Xenopus tropicalis: one gene and its partners. Each later gene encodes a partner of the first gene's protein in a complex. Links are inferred from orthologs where the notes say so. Each region holds a gene or a part of one and is shown on either strand. Other genes may lie near its edges.

What was found.
Region 2: tert (region 1) and gar1 share a complex: the UniProt entries of both Homo sapiens proteins name them as parts of the telomerase holoenzyme complex. The link is inferred for Xenopus tropicalis from reciprocal best matches to the Homo sapiens genes TERT and GAR1.
Region 3: tert (region 1) and nhp2 share a complex: the UniProt entries of both Homo sapiens proteins name them as parts of the telomerase holoenzyme complex. The link is inferred for Xenopus tropicalis from reciprocal best matches to the Homo sapiens genes TERT and NHP2.

Annotation. Positions count from the first base shown.
Region 1 is NC_030682.2:58,814,176-58,818,430, forward strand, and holds part of tert (telomerase reverse transcriptase), read right to left. Parts: intron 3,551-4,255; coding exon 3,355-3,550; intron 2,480-3,354; coding exon 2,293-2,479; intron 956-2,292; coding exon 773-955; intron 1-772. UniProt on the Homo sapiens protein: Telomerase is a ribonucleoprotein enzyme essential for the replication of chromosome termini in most eukaryotes. Active in progenitor and cancer cells. Inactive, or very low activity, in normal somatic cells.
Region 2 is NC_030677.2:68,655,730-68,660,649, forward strand, and holds the start of gar1 (H/ACA ribonucleoprotein complex subunit 1), read right to left. Parts: upstream 3,297-4,920; 5' UTR 3,236-3,296; intron 707-3,235; 5' UTR 706-706; coding exon 513-705; intron 288-512; coding exon 133-287; intron 1-132. UniProt on the Homo sapiens protein: Required for ribosome biogenesis and telomere maintenance. Part of the H/ACA small nucleolar ribonucleoprotein (H/ACA snoRNP) complex, which catalyzes pseudouridylation of rRNA.
Region 3 is NC_030679.2:47,806,635-47,811,351, forward strand, and holds the start of nhp2 (H/ACA ribonucleoprotein complex subunit 2-like protein), read right to left. Parts: upstream 3,297-4,717; 5' UTR 3,238-3,296; coding exon 3,090-3,237; intron 1,904-3,089; coding exon 1,834-1,903; intron 1,745-1,833; coding exon 1,639-1,744; intron 1-1,638. UniProt on the Homo sapiens protein: Required for ribosome biogenesis and telomere maintenance. Part of the H/ACA small nucleolar ribonucleoprotein (H/ACA snoRNP) complex, which catalyzes pseudouridylation of rRNA.

The DNA of each region.
Region 1 (4,255 bases):
CTACTAGTGCTATACACATACTCTCTATAATTCTTCTCTCAAGATAATTAATTGGATCCATGCACAGTTTTATTCAGTGATAAACTGGCTTTTACATGTGACTACCGTAGGGTCTACAGCCAATGACTGGCAAGTGACATTACCGTGCATCTCAAGCACAAGACTCTGTCAAAGAAACTGAGGTTAGATAATTGATGTCATTGTAAACAGGGAGGGATGTAAAAGGAAAATATATACATATACCTGTTACTCTCTCACATTACCAAGTGACAAATATAGATCGCTAAGTGTATGATATTTAGTATGAGGACTTGGATGCAACGCCACTCACATAGCACTCTCAACACAGAATAACTTAAGTATTTCAATATGCAGCACTGGAAGCCCTATAAGTGAATTGATACCAATGGAAACAAATTTGAAATAGAAAAAACACCAGTGTCCCAACCTCATAATTCAACTTTTGCTGTGAATATTCTGAGCCCTGGTTACTGTGTCTGCTCAAATACAAAATGTTAAATACAGATGTTTCCTAGGTCAAACTAGTGATGACAGCCCAGCCAATCATTTACTTGTTACCTCTATAAGAGAAGAGCTGCACTGACTCTGTACAGTGTAGCTGGCTCAGAACTAGATTGATAGCTAAAGTTCCTCTCTCTACCATTTAAGTATGTTCTATTCATTATTAATATAATAACAATTATCATTAAGAATTAACTTTACAGGTTTAATGATGGGGAGAACATTTAACAAGATGTTTGTTTTTACTTACCTTCACAAAGTAAAATTTGCCTTTTTCAGCTCTCGATTTTTCAAAATCTAGCACAAATTTTTTCCACTGTTTGTATATATCATCCATGCCAAAAACAGATGAGCCAATTAGGCTGCAATTTCTATTCCATTCATAGTTAAGAACACTAAAAAGGTTTCGAACCCGAGAGGTAAAATGTTGAATCTGCCACATAAAGGAAAAAAAAATTTGAAATAAATCAAAAGGAATCTGTAAAATGTCAGCATTGTTAAACTGCTTAAGGTACTATGGCACTAACAAGGTACTAACATATGGAGAATTAAAGCAACTGCAATACACAATTTACTAAAGCAATTGCAATACACTAGCTTAAAGGAGAAGGAAAGGCTAAGTCACTTGGGGGTGCCAAAATGTTAGGCACCCCGAAGTGACTTAGATCGCTTACCCCGTACCCTGGGCTGGTGCCCCTGTTAGGAGAAAAAAGCACCAGCCCGGGGTACCTGTAGGAAGTGCTTCCTCCTTCCTCTTTCTTCTGCGAAATCCGTCGGCCGGCGCATGCGCAGTAGAGTGAAAAGCCGACTTTGTTGTTTAAGTTCGGCTTTTCACTCTACTGCGCATGCGCACGCAAGCGAATAGGAAGCACTCGCTTCTACCGCGGGCTGGTGCTGTTCTCTCCTAACAGGGGCACCAGCCCAGGTTAAAAGGTAAGCGATCTAAGTCACTTGGGGGTGCCTAAAATTTCGGCACCCCCAAGTGACTTAGCCTTTCCTTCTCCTTTAAAAATGCATGAGGAAAATCAAGAGGTGCTTGCAGTTCTGGAAACAGTGTTTCACTGTTAAATGCTATATAGCTTACTTGTATGCTTTAATGAGCCAAGCTAAAATAGGGATGGAAAATTGTATTACAGAGAGGAGTAAATAAACCCAAAATCATTTTTAAATATGTAAATAAGTGGAACCCTTATTATCAGAGGAAGGTCAGTTGTTCAATGAGATCAGGGAAAAAGCAGAGGTTCTGAATTGTTATTTTTGTCTGTCTACACAACTGAAGAGCCAGCTAATGAAGGCTTCCCTTTTAATATGCCCAGTTCTAGTAATATAGCTACTCATGCATGGGTCACTCGGGAGGAATTTCAAAAGGTAAACAAAGGTCCTGGACCGGATGGTATTCATCCCAAGGTATTAATAGAGCTTAGCTCTGTGATTGCCACTGTAGGTTCAGAAGGTTACTGCTTAAATTAAGGAATACTGGCCTGGAACATATTTGTAGTTGGATAAAAAAAACTGGCTAAAGTATAAATTACAAAGAGTAGTGGCATCTCCTAATTGCTCCAGTGTTGTTAGGGGTCAGTTCTCCTATATATACGCACTGGGGTTTGTTTGGAGGGGTTCAATTTGATGGACTTTTTTTCAACCCAACTTAAATATGTAACTCTATAGTGACAACACATTTATGCAGTGCTTTACAGAAGTTTATGGCATGGGAATGTCATGGGTTTGCAGACACATTGGCAACAAAACACATACACGCACAGAAGATACCTTCTTCTCTTGGTTTTCTTTGCTTTGTTGGCTACCCAAAGTACTGGATACTCTAGATATTGGACGTAGTCCATTTGTTTTTGGTATGAATCTGAGCCTGGAAACCAGTGGAATGTTTTTCCATTGTTGCATCTTTTCTAGTTCATCGCAGGACAATGGACGCAATTTCACCTTCTCTAGATGTTTTCTAAAGAGAAAAATAGGCCTAAATCTGTGCAGGACCTTGGATCTTACAAGATTAGACCTCCCATATGAAATCAGGCACTAAACATTCTCTAACAAACATGTACACTTGCCAACTGCTGCTGTGTTGTTTAAGAAGAGGTAAAAAAGTTGCTGATTTCAGTTATATTTTTACTTACAAAAACTTAAAAGGGAATCATAAATCAAAAGGTGTATAAGACTGAAAAGCATATGTAAAATAAGGCATTTTTCTAAATACATTCTAATTTCCATTTAAGAGATAATATATTCGTTTTGGCATTTACACTGTTGACGTCAATGTTTTACCTTTGTACTGGCTACCTGCCAATTCCTCACTGACTTGAAGTTGTGAAAGATATATGCTTCAGCCAATAGCGGGATCACTTTGATGGACGAATCACAGCACTTCTCACATTGTTTGGTTTGTGGTACTACTGGACATCATAATTTAGAACCATATGCCGGTAATTATTTGGCCGATAAACACTGCGCAGGGCTCTGCACGAGGTGATCCAGTAATATAATCATTCTTTGCTACTTCTCGCCAGAATGCATTTACACGATTGAAAGGCAGCACGGAGCGATTATAATAGTGGCCAGGATGAAATGATAATATTACTGGATCATCAGGTGCACAGCCCTGTAGCGTTTATCAACGATTGAAAGGCAGCACGGAGCGATTATAATAGTGGCCAGGATGAAACGATAATATTACTGGATCATCAGGTGCACAGCCCTGCAGCGTTTATCAACCAGGGATATAATGTAAAATGATGATGTCAGATATCATAGATATTGCATTTTATGATTTCAAATGCAATGCCTTTAAGACTTCATAGTTCTATATTCATAGTTTACCTTAGACCTAAATTTTGAAGTTTCTTCCAAATTCTTTTTCTGTAGAACAAAAGTCTATTCTTCTGAAACATGGTTTCCGTGACAAAAAAAAATGATTTCAGCAACTGTATGACATAGGTGTCCATTAGCCAAAAGATAAATTTGGCAAGGATTCTCTCTCGTAGCAAGTGTTCTGAAGCAGGAACAAAGTGATCACCTGCAGCATGCATAAAAAAGTGTTAATATTTTATGTAATAAAATCCACTGAAAACTGAATAGATGAAAATACGTTAAACTAATAAAAACCTCAGAAATAAAGTCACTTAAGATGGCCATACACAGGCCAATAAAAGCTGCAGATGGTCCGGGTCAGCACATTGTATGAGCCCAACAGCTGTCAATTAGACAAGTATAAAAATCCCTTGGGGCGAAAAGCACATCTGCGCTTCCATGCAGTCCTCGTGGCGATGGCCTGTATTCCATCAATGTGATCTGATATCGCCCACTTCAAGATGGACATGTCAGGGAAAGATCCGCTCCTTTGGCGACCTCACCAAATGAGCCTATGATTAAGTACCATATAGGTACAAAACGTATAAGGCTTTGTAGCATTATGTGTAACTTTTTTGTTTTTACTATAAACTTTTTTGAGCCACTATTTGACGTTCATTTGGAGTTACGGAGTGCCTGCCTTTTTCGTGTTTTGACCTCACCAAATGAGCAGATCTCTCGGTGTATGGGCACCTTTAAAAACTTTACACTTTTTGCAGGTGTAGATCTATTGTCCAAGGGAATTTGTTCTTTTCGCTATCCATGTTAATGAGCAAACCACTGCAGGCTGGGGAGGGGCAGTAGCATGGATAAACCATTCAAAAAATCAAAACCATCTTAAAGTAGTATAGATCATCTTACAACTCAGAAC
Region 2 (4,920 bases), on another chromosome or scaffold:
GTATGCCTGATTAACTATTTATTAGCCTTTCCTTCTCCTTTAATGAGGTATCAGCTAAAATTAAAAAAAAAAAAAAAAAAGTTCCAATGTTAAGTGATGTTGACCGTGGAAATAATTTGCTGTAAAGGATACAAAGTCTCTTAGCTGCCCAAATATCTCATCCACTTTTCCAATCTGTTCTTTATTCTCAAGGTATATGGGAGCATTGAAATAAGGCACTCTGTTTTCCTGTGTAATGCATTTACACACCACATCATCTTCACATGGATGCATAAATTCCCCAACCTCTGCAAGACAAAAAGAAATACATGCATATGAGTGGAAGCAGCATAGGGGACACTACAGACATTTGCTTTCAGCTAGAAACTGCTTTGGAGAAGAGATATATACTTGAAGAATTACAAAAGTGACTGAAGGATGTAGAAAAAAAATGATTATGATTGCAAAACTTTGCAGGAAATCAGAGCAGTCGAAAGACTTGGAAAAAAAAATATACATATAAATATATTTACCAACAACACTCTCAGGAGGACCTTGGTCATATCCTCCTCTGTTGAAGCCTCCACGTCCGCCTCCTCTTCCAAACCCACCTCTTCCACCACCCTGTCCATAACCTCCACGGCCACCTCCTCTTCCTCCAAAACCACCACCTCCTCTTCCTCCTCCTCCACCTCTGTTAAAGCCTCCTCTCCCTCGGAATGACATCCTTATTGAAAGAATAGTTGGAGCAGTGATTTTTAAGTCATCAATAAAAGTCAAATGTAATGAAACAATAAACATATGTCAGTTTTAAGCAGTCAGTAGGGTGGCTTTACAATTACCCATACCAATAACCTATAGGACACTATTAAAATTATTATGCAAATACATGTACAGGTGCTACTTGGGATATTTGAGACTTGGGGTTTTTTTGGATAAGCAGCCTGTTAAATAAAAAAAGGACTGTATTGTGCTCATCATATATTTATGCGAGTCTCGTTACCATCAATGAGAAGTGATGAACTGTTTGTTAAATTGGACACTATTGGAAATGGCATTCCCACATAATGCTGATTACTGATATTAGGTTTCTGGATAATGCATCTCATACCTATATGTCTCATGGAACTTTTTCAGCTTCAAATTGATAAGCAAAATGGGGTATTTATAAATGTTAAATAGAGATTGTGTCACTGAACTACATAAAGACAAAACTCTTCCAAACAATAAGTAACCCGAAGATCTCCATATGTGTTTGGACTACAACTCCTAGTTTTCTACCAACAGATGTCAAAATGCATGCATTACCATGCTTGACAAAGAATACTATCTTCGAGGTAGCATTTTGCTATGCAGGGGCAAGCTCATTTAATGTACTAATCCTACAGTGGTGCAGTACAGAGTTAGAATCTATATTTGCTGCATTGTGGGGGGAATATATAGTGCAAAGTTAAAAGGAAAACTATACCCCCCAGAATGAATACCTAACCAACAGATAGTTTATAATATGCTAAGTAGGCTATTAAAGAATCTTATCAGTAAATATTGCCCTTTCCCTTGATTCACCATTTAGTGATGGGCTGTGTGCTCCCTCTGAGATCACATGACCAGAAATAATGCAACTGTAACAAGAAGTAGTGTGGAAGCAAAAGACAGAACTGTCCACTGAATACATGTGTGCCTTGGCTTGTTTGTGTGCACTGTGAATCTTATGATCCCAGGAGGCAGCCCTTAATTCTTGAAATGGCAATTTTCTATTTAGGAGTACCCAATAGCACATACTACTAAAAAAGTATATTTTTATGAAAACGGTTTATTCAGATGAAGCAGGGTTTTACATATGAGCTTGTTTATGCAATATGTTTTTATAGAGACCTAATTGCTTGGGGGTATAGTTTTCCATTAGGTGAAGTCACCTAAACAGTTAAAAATCATACAGTTTAGCCATGCATTCAAGCAACCAAATAATGATTTCTTTAACGGGTAAAAGATTGTTGAATCTCAGGTAGTCTGGGCACACAGTTAAGTAGTCATGTCAAACCTCTGTGATCAGTGTAACACTATTTAAATGGAAATCGAACAGAATAATAAAAAATTTTAGTTACATTATGGGGCACATTCATCAATGTACGATTGAGTCTGAATACTAAAAATTCATATTTTTTCAAAATTTTAGAACGGTGCGTATTTTCTGCGATTTTCTTGTTAATTTGTGCAACTTTTTCATTCTTTGTGACAATTTGTACGACAAAATCATATTTGTCGCAACGAGTACGAAAGTTTTGGAATTTATTAAAGCTTTGTTATCGTAGCTTTCCTTTGGCCAGGTCGGAGCTGCAGAGTGCCATTGAGCCCTATGGGAGACTTTCCTTGGGCCGGGTTGGAGCTGCAGAGTGCCATTGAGCCCTATGGGAGACTTTCCTTGGGCCGGGTTGGAGCTGCAGAGTGCCATTGAGTCCTATGGGAGACTTTCCTTGGGCCGGGTTGGAGCTGCAGAGTGCCATTGAGTCCTATGGGAGACTTTCCTTGGGCCAGGTTGGAGCTGCAGAGTGCCATTGAGCCCTATGGGAGACTTTCCTTGGGCCAGGTTGGAGCTGCAGAGTGCCATTGAGCCCTATGGGAGACTTTCCTTGGGCCAGGTCGGAGCTGCAGAGTGCCATTGAGTCCTATGGGAGGCTTCCAAAATCATGCACAGAAGTTTAACAGTTTTTGCACTGTCACTTTGATAAATGTGCCCATATTTGTCTGCCATAAACATTTGCTTACATGAAGATGAACTGAACTGCAACTTTAAACAACCCCCTGACACACTTTGATAGTAAGCATAGTATTAGTTGAAAATCATTTCATGTGCCCATCACTTATGTATATAAGCAATGACATAACTCCATGATCCCCATACTAAATCCAGGCAATGGATGACAAAATATTATCTGACCAAATAGCACTGGAGGGCCTGGATGTATAATAATGTTAAAATCAATGTTACATGAATTAGTGACCTGTAATGATCAGGGGTGAAGCACAGAGTGGAAGAATATCGTCACAGGGAAGTATAACCTCCAGCCCTCCATGCAGGCTCAACATCTGTTTGATCCGAGCTAGAGAACAGTATTTTAAAACCCAGGATAGCAGTCGTACACCCTTACTTTTCATCTCAACGATCATTGGACTGGACAAATAAAATGAAATGCATGTTTTAAAATGACCATGACAGATCGTATCTACCCTCAATTAAGCAATGAGTTACATTTACCTTTAGTTGCGTTTGGCTTCCTGCATGCGGCACTCTGAAACTACCCAGAGTACACTCCGGCACACGTTCCCACCACTTCCGACTCAACAACACGTGGACTGCGTACATCGTACTTGGGCGCACAGCATTCACGTCATCAAACGGCGCGGCTATTAAAGGAAACGCGCTTACGTGTTTGTGTCCATTTACTGAACTGAATGAATGGAGTCAATGAGAGCTTCTGTGATTTGGTTAGGGAAAGGCAAAGCTGGACGCACCGCAGAAAATAACGCATATATTTAGCTTATTACCGAGCAGCCAGTAATTATGGTACCGCTTGGTATTGTAATTGAACTCAGTTGCTGAACTAAAATACCCCATTAAAAATGGATTTTACATCGAAAAGCAGTTGAATTAATCCCATTGGGTGTATGTAAAAAATCTTTTGGGGATGGGGCTAGCAAGTAGATAAAATAATCATGAGTAATAATTCTCCAATTATTTTTGGCAGCAAGGCACAAATCTAGAGAGTGGGAGGGTAACACACTTAAAAGAAATATGGGAAAGCTGAACTGGTTATGGATTTAACTAGCCCAATGGGAGAAAAGAAATGCTATACAGATACAGATATAATTCTGTGTGTGTTGGGGGGTGGAGGTATAGTATAACTATTTCTAAATATACAAAATTACTCGCACATAGAACAAAAGTACACAAGGTTTGGACATTGGCCCTTAATCACAGGACTTGACCAATTAATGACAATTACATTTACAAATAACTTTTAAAGCACTGAAAATCTTTAATAAATTCATTTTGGAAGGTTGCCTAGAATTATGTTTTTTTTGTATTGGGCAAAAATGTAGTTTTGGGATTGACATGTCTTTTAAAGATTCGGTTTGGCCAGGACCATGGATTCGACTGAATCCTGATGAAAAAGGTAGAATCTTGGCCAAATCCCTAACTGAATCCTGGATTCATGCATCCCTAATTTGCATTAGAGTATCAAAAAGCAGAGGATAAGTCCAGGCAATGAGAACAGGGTAGTGTCCTTTGGCCTTGGCATCTAGAGATCATTTGCAACTCTACATAAGGATGTTTCAGTGGAGGGTGCAGCTGTTTTAAAGATAGAAAAGTACCAGAAAATTGTTTGCGGGTAGAATTGACTTTGCTTTTAAAATAGCAAAGTTCCAGGGGCTATGTTTAGACGTGAGTGATTTATTTGGTAAAGGATGAAGAAGTGAGTAGAATATGGTAACCAAGCACCATGGATTGTTTTTATTATTTATAAGTGTATTATAGTATTTTTGCTTGGCCTGGGATAGGGCAGCATTGAGGCAGTCCATAAGAAATGTATAGCGGAGGGAGTCTACTGTACACTGTGCCTGCAATGAAATGTGGAAGGGGGGGGGGGCAGCACCCTGTGTATGTAAGGAAATTCTGGGGGACCCACACACTTTTCCTCTGCTGAGATGTTGGGGGCCATACTCTGTGCCTGTTGTGAAATGCTGGGGGACCCACACACTATGCCTCTGCTGAGATGTTGGGGGCCACATGCTGTGCCTGTCGTTATTGCTGGGGGAGCCACACACTGTGCCTATTGAGAAATGCCTGGGGGGCAGGGCATATACCACACACTGTGCCTATTGAGAAATGCCTGGGGGGCAGGGCATATATTATGCCTGTCGAAAAAATGCAAATGAAAT
Region 3 (4,717 bases), on another chromosome or scaffold:
TTCCCACTAAAATTAATGGAAGCCAAAGGACATTGTCACCAGTGTTTCTATGTCTGCAGATATGTGTAATGCTTAACATTAGCATTCTATGTAGTGCTGCCTCTTGTTATACACAATGACTGGTTCCAGGAATATTTGACTGAGATTCTCAATAAATCACTCAGGTGGCAAAACACCTACAATGGTTTATGTGCCATTCCCTTACACAGTAAATGTTTGCTAGAAGTTTCTAACCAAGAAGAGTATTATGCACAATTGAGTAGGACTTTGTATAGGAGAATTTGTTTTTGCAATTTTGTTTTTAGAAGATCTGTCTATAAGTATTAGTTGTATGACAAAGGACTAAAGTAAAGAAATCACACTCATTTTGCAGTGACTAGATCTGGTAAATATAAGATGTTAGAAGACACCAGTAGTTTAAAGGCCCATTAGGATAGATTTGTGAAGAATCCCTATTTTTCTCCAATAGTACAGGTATGGGACCCATTATACAGAATGCTCAGGACCTGGGGGTTCTTGGATAAGGGATCTTTCCGTAATTTGGATCTCCATACCTTAAGTGTACTAAAAGATTATTTACTGTATATACTCGAGTATAAGCCAATCCGAATATAAGCCGAGGTACCTAATTTTACCTAAGAAACCTGGAAAAACTTATTGACTCGAGTATAAGCCTAGGGTGGGAAATGCAGCAGCTACTGCTAAGTTTTTTTTTTTTTTTTTTTTTTAACAGTCAGGCAAGTTTGGGAAGGCTAAGGAAGCTGCCATACTAAGTATCAAGTACTTGCCATCCTGCTGTGTGTGCTCCCATCGCAATGCAGCATGTCTCCCAGCACAACTGACAGCAAAGCTTCTATTTGTGAGAGTGCTCAGCCAGAATGGCAGTAGCTTCTGTGGAACTACACATCCCAGGAGGCCATTAATATGTAGGCAGGAGGGGAACATGAGCCGAGCCAGGAGCAAGATAACACTTCCCAAGGGCAGTTATACCCTCACTGTAGCCACATAGTCAGGTGTGTCCCCGATATATATATATAATTTGATATGACAAATCTATCATATCAAATTATATATGAATTATTGGCATGTCTGCTCCCAGGACTCTCCCTCTACCCTGCCATGGTTATGCTTCTGTATATGATTTTTTATCTGGAAACCTGGTATCCCCCATTTTTTTTTTTTTTTTTGAAACAGCTATAAGACCCCTTAGTGCTTTCTAAAAATTCGTTTTTTTAATTAAAATAATAACACCATGTTCTAGCAACTTGTAGGGGGTCTCCTGTACTTCATATCTTCACAAGCAAATCCTTATTACATGTGGAGTGGGCGGAGCTAGAAGTGATCAAGTTACACAGGGCGACCCGCACAGCGCCGCAGTCTCTTCCGGGGCACTGAGTGAGCTAGCCGGTTGCTGGAGCTCACAGCCCCCTCTGCCTGCAGCGGCCGGAGAGGGAGGTACGGGGGGGGGGCGGGATTTGCGAGCGTACGCACAGTGGGCGTGCGTGCACAACGAATTACAAAACCATATACTCGAGTATAAGCCGAGGATGACTTTTTCAGCACATTTTTGGCAACCACTGGTACACACTGAAATGAACTGTCAGTTTAGAAGAAAAGTGAAGGAAAAAGAATACTCACTGATTTGGATGGAACGTATGAATAAGGAATGCCGCGATCCTCACACATTACAGGGATGTGACAATACACCTCAATGGGAAGGGTGTCACCAGCCATTACTACAATCCTAAAAATATTCAGAAGTCAGAACTGTACAGTAAGCTACTATTACCGTGGAGGTTAATTGATGTTTCAGAAAAGGATAAGTGTTCTTACCCTTTCTCTCCTTTGTTGATGAACTTTTGTACTTCCTTCACTCCTCTGCGGATATTCTTTTGTTTTATGGCTGAAAGGGAAAATAGAGGGATCTTTAGGATACATCCATATTGTAGTAATTCTTCCAAAAACCTCTTGAACGGAATGGCATTGTTTATGCTTCTGATTATTACAGTGTGTACATATTTCAGAAAGCGGTGAATTCAAAAACCTCTATTACTGGCAGATTAAGTAAAAGGCATATCTATCATTTAATGGACAAGTATTTATGGTCTTATTGATGAAATGTTTAAGAAAGCAAGTCCTGCATTTTTTGCAGTTGTCCCTTGCAGGCAACCAGAGAGCCCTGCTGTGAGCTCTCTAAATGCTCTAGGCCAGAGATCCCCAACCTTTAATACTCGTGAGCCACATTCAAATGGAAAAAGTGTTGGGGAGCAACACAAGCATGGAAAATGGGGGTGCAAATAAGAGCTATAATTGGCTATTTGGTAGCCCCTATGTGGACTGGTAGCCTATAGAAGGCCCTGTTTGGCTTTACACTGGGTTTTATGCAACCAAAACTTGCCCCCACGCCAGAAATTAAAAAATAAGCACCTGCTTTGAGGCCACTGGGAGCAACATCTAAGGGGTTGGAGAGCAACATATTGCTCATGAACCACTGGTTGGGGATCACTGCTCTAGGCCCTCAGATGGCAGACCTGTGGTGAATCTTAGTGACACTGGTTCACAATAAAATGGAGGGGGGGGTCAAGTGTTCACAAGGGCTCCATAACAGTGCAGGCAGTGCTTTATATGAAGCCACAGTTGGTGGCAGGGTTTATGAATGGGGAAACCTCTCAAACATCCCTTTACAGTGACAGGAAGCAATTAAGCTTTGGCTGACTTTCAGCCGTTATAGTTCTGCTTATTAGGAATTATTGCATATTTTTCATTCATGTTAGCACTAGATTTTAGAAATTATGCCTAAAGCTCACTTTTAAAAGAACTGAACATATTCCTGTGAATTGAGTGTCACTAGCTAAAAGCCTCTACTGAATCCCTGCACAGGATTTCAGCGGAAGTCGAAGTTTATAATCGCTGTACATCGCAGTGACTGTATCCACATTTGTGCGCAAGAAGCCGGACTGACTGCTATCGCTTTTAAAACACATTTCAGACAAGATGCTCCAACAACAATTCACGGGATGTGTTAAACTCTAATTACAGCCCCACCATTCGCCTGAAAGAGCCAGCGGCCATTGAAGTAAGCATGGTACCTTTCTTTACACATTTGTATAGTTTCTTGGTGAGTTTGCGGCCCGCCAGCGGCTTAGCGATGGGGTTTAGATACGCCAACAGCTCATCGTAAGACTTGCTCGGCGTTTCGGGCACTTCCTCCGATTCCTCCTTCTTTGCTTTAGTCATTTCGCTAGATCACAGACGAGCAGGCTCAACGCACAACCACGTGTAACCGCGCACACTCGCACAACTGAGCACTTCCGTGTCCGGTGGGAGGGGCATATGCAAAGCAATCTGTGACTTGCGCTCTAGTCTCTGCGTAAGGAAAACTTCCGGCCATGAATATGCGGTATTGCAGAGAATATTGACTTTACTGTGGTGTATAGTTTGTATGTATGGTTAATATCTATAGTAGAAAGGAAATAAATTAATCATTGGTTAGAGAGATAGTTTCTTTCCAAGGGAAGGACCTAAAGCCCTCTAGTGGTGAGGTAGATACAAGTACAGGAAAGAGTCCAATCTGCAATGATAACGATAAATAATACCCATAATACCGGGACCCTCGTTGCGCTTTAGGAGTAAGGTCCTAAATAACGATAAACTCCAGTCTCTTTTGATATATCCAGCTAATTCTCATCCTGAGAAACACCATAACGTTTTTGTCTGGTAAACAAAATTGCCATTAAAGGGGGTTGTTCACCTTTCTGTTAACTCTTAGTATAATGTAGAGCAGTGATCCCCAACCAGTGGTTCATGAGCAACATGTTGCTCCCTAACCCCTTGGATGTTGCTCCCAGTGGCCTCAAAGCAGGTGCTTATTTATGAGTTTATGGTTAGGAGCCAAGGTTTTGTTGCATAAAACCCAGTGTAATTGGCAAACAGAGCCTTCTGTAGGCTTCCAGTCAACATAGGGGCTATCAAATAGCCAATTATAGCTCTCATTGGCACCTCCGGGAACTTTTTTCATGCTTGTGTTGCTCTCCAAAATTTTTTCCATTTGAATGTGGCTCACGGGTATAAAAGGTTGGGGAACCCTGATGTAGAGTGTAATATTCTCAGACAATTTGCAACTAGTCTTCATTTTTATTCTTTCTAGTTTTTTAGTTTCACTTTTTGTTCAGCAGCAATTTGGTTGCTAGGGTCCAAATTATCTTAGCAACCAGGGAGCTGTTTGAATGACAAATGATAAATGAACAGGAGAGGGCCTGAATAGAAAAATGAGGAATAAAAAGTAACAATAAAAATAAAACTGGAGCCTCACAGAGCAATAGTCTTTTGGCTGCCGGGGTCAGTGACCCCAATTTGAAAGCTGCAAAGAATAAAGGCCCCCATACACGGGCCGGTCCCTTGGACCGATTCGGCAGCTAATCGGCCTGTGTGTGGGCAGAAACGAGCAGCCTGGCCAACCGATATCTGGCCTGAAATTGGCCAGATATCGATCGGCCAGGTTAGAAAATCCAGTCGGCTCGGGGACCGCATGGGCTCGTTGATGCGGTCCCCGAACCGACTGCCCCATGGCCACAAATGTAATCCGATCGTTTGTAGCCACTGTACCCTATAAACATATAAATGGGCAGGGGCAGTTTTAAAGATAATATTCATTCATAAGATTTTGTGAAATCAAACATCCCCTGCTTAGCTCTTTTACTGCTACTACCTGTCAGGC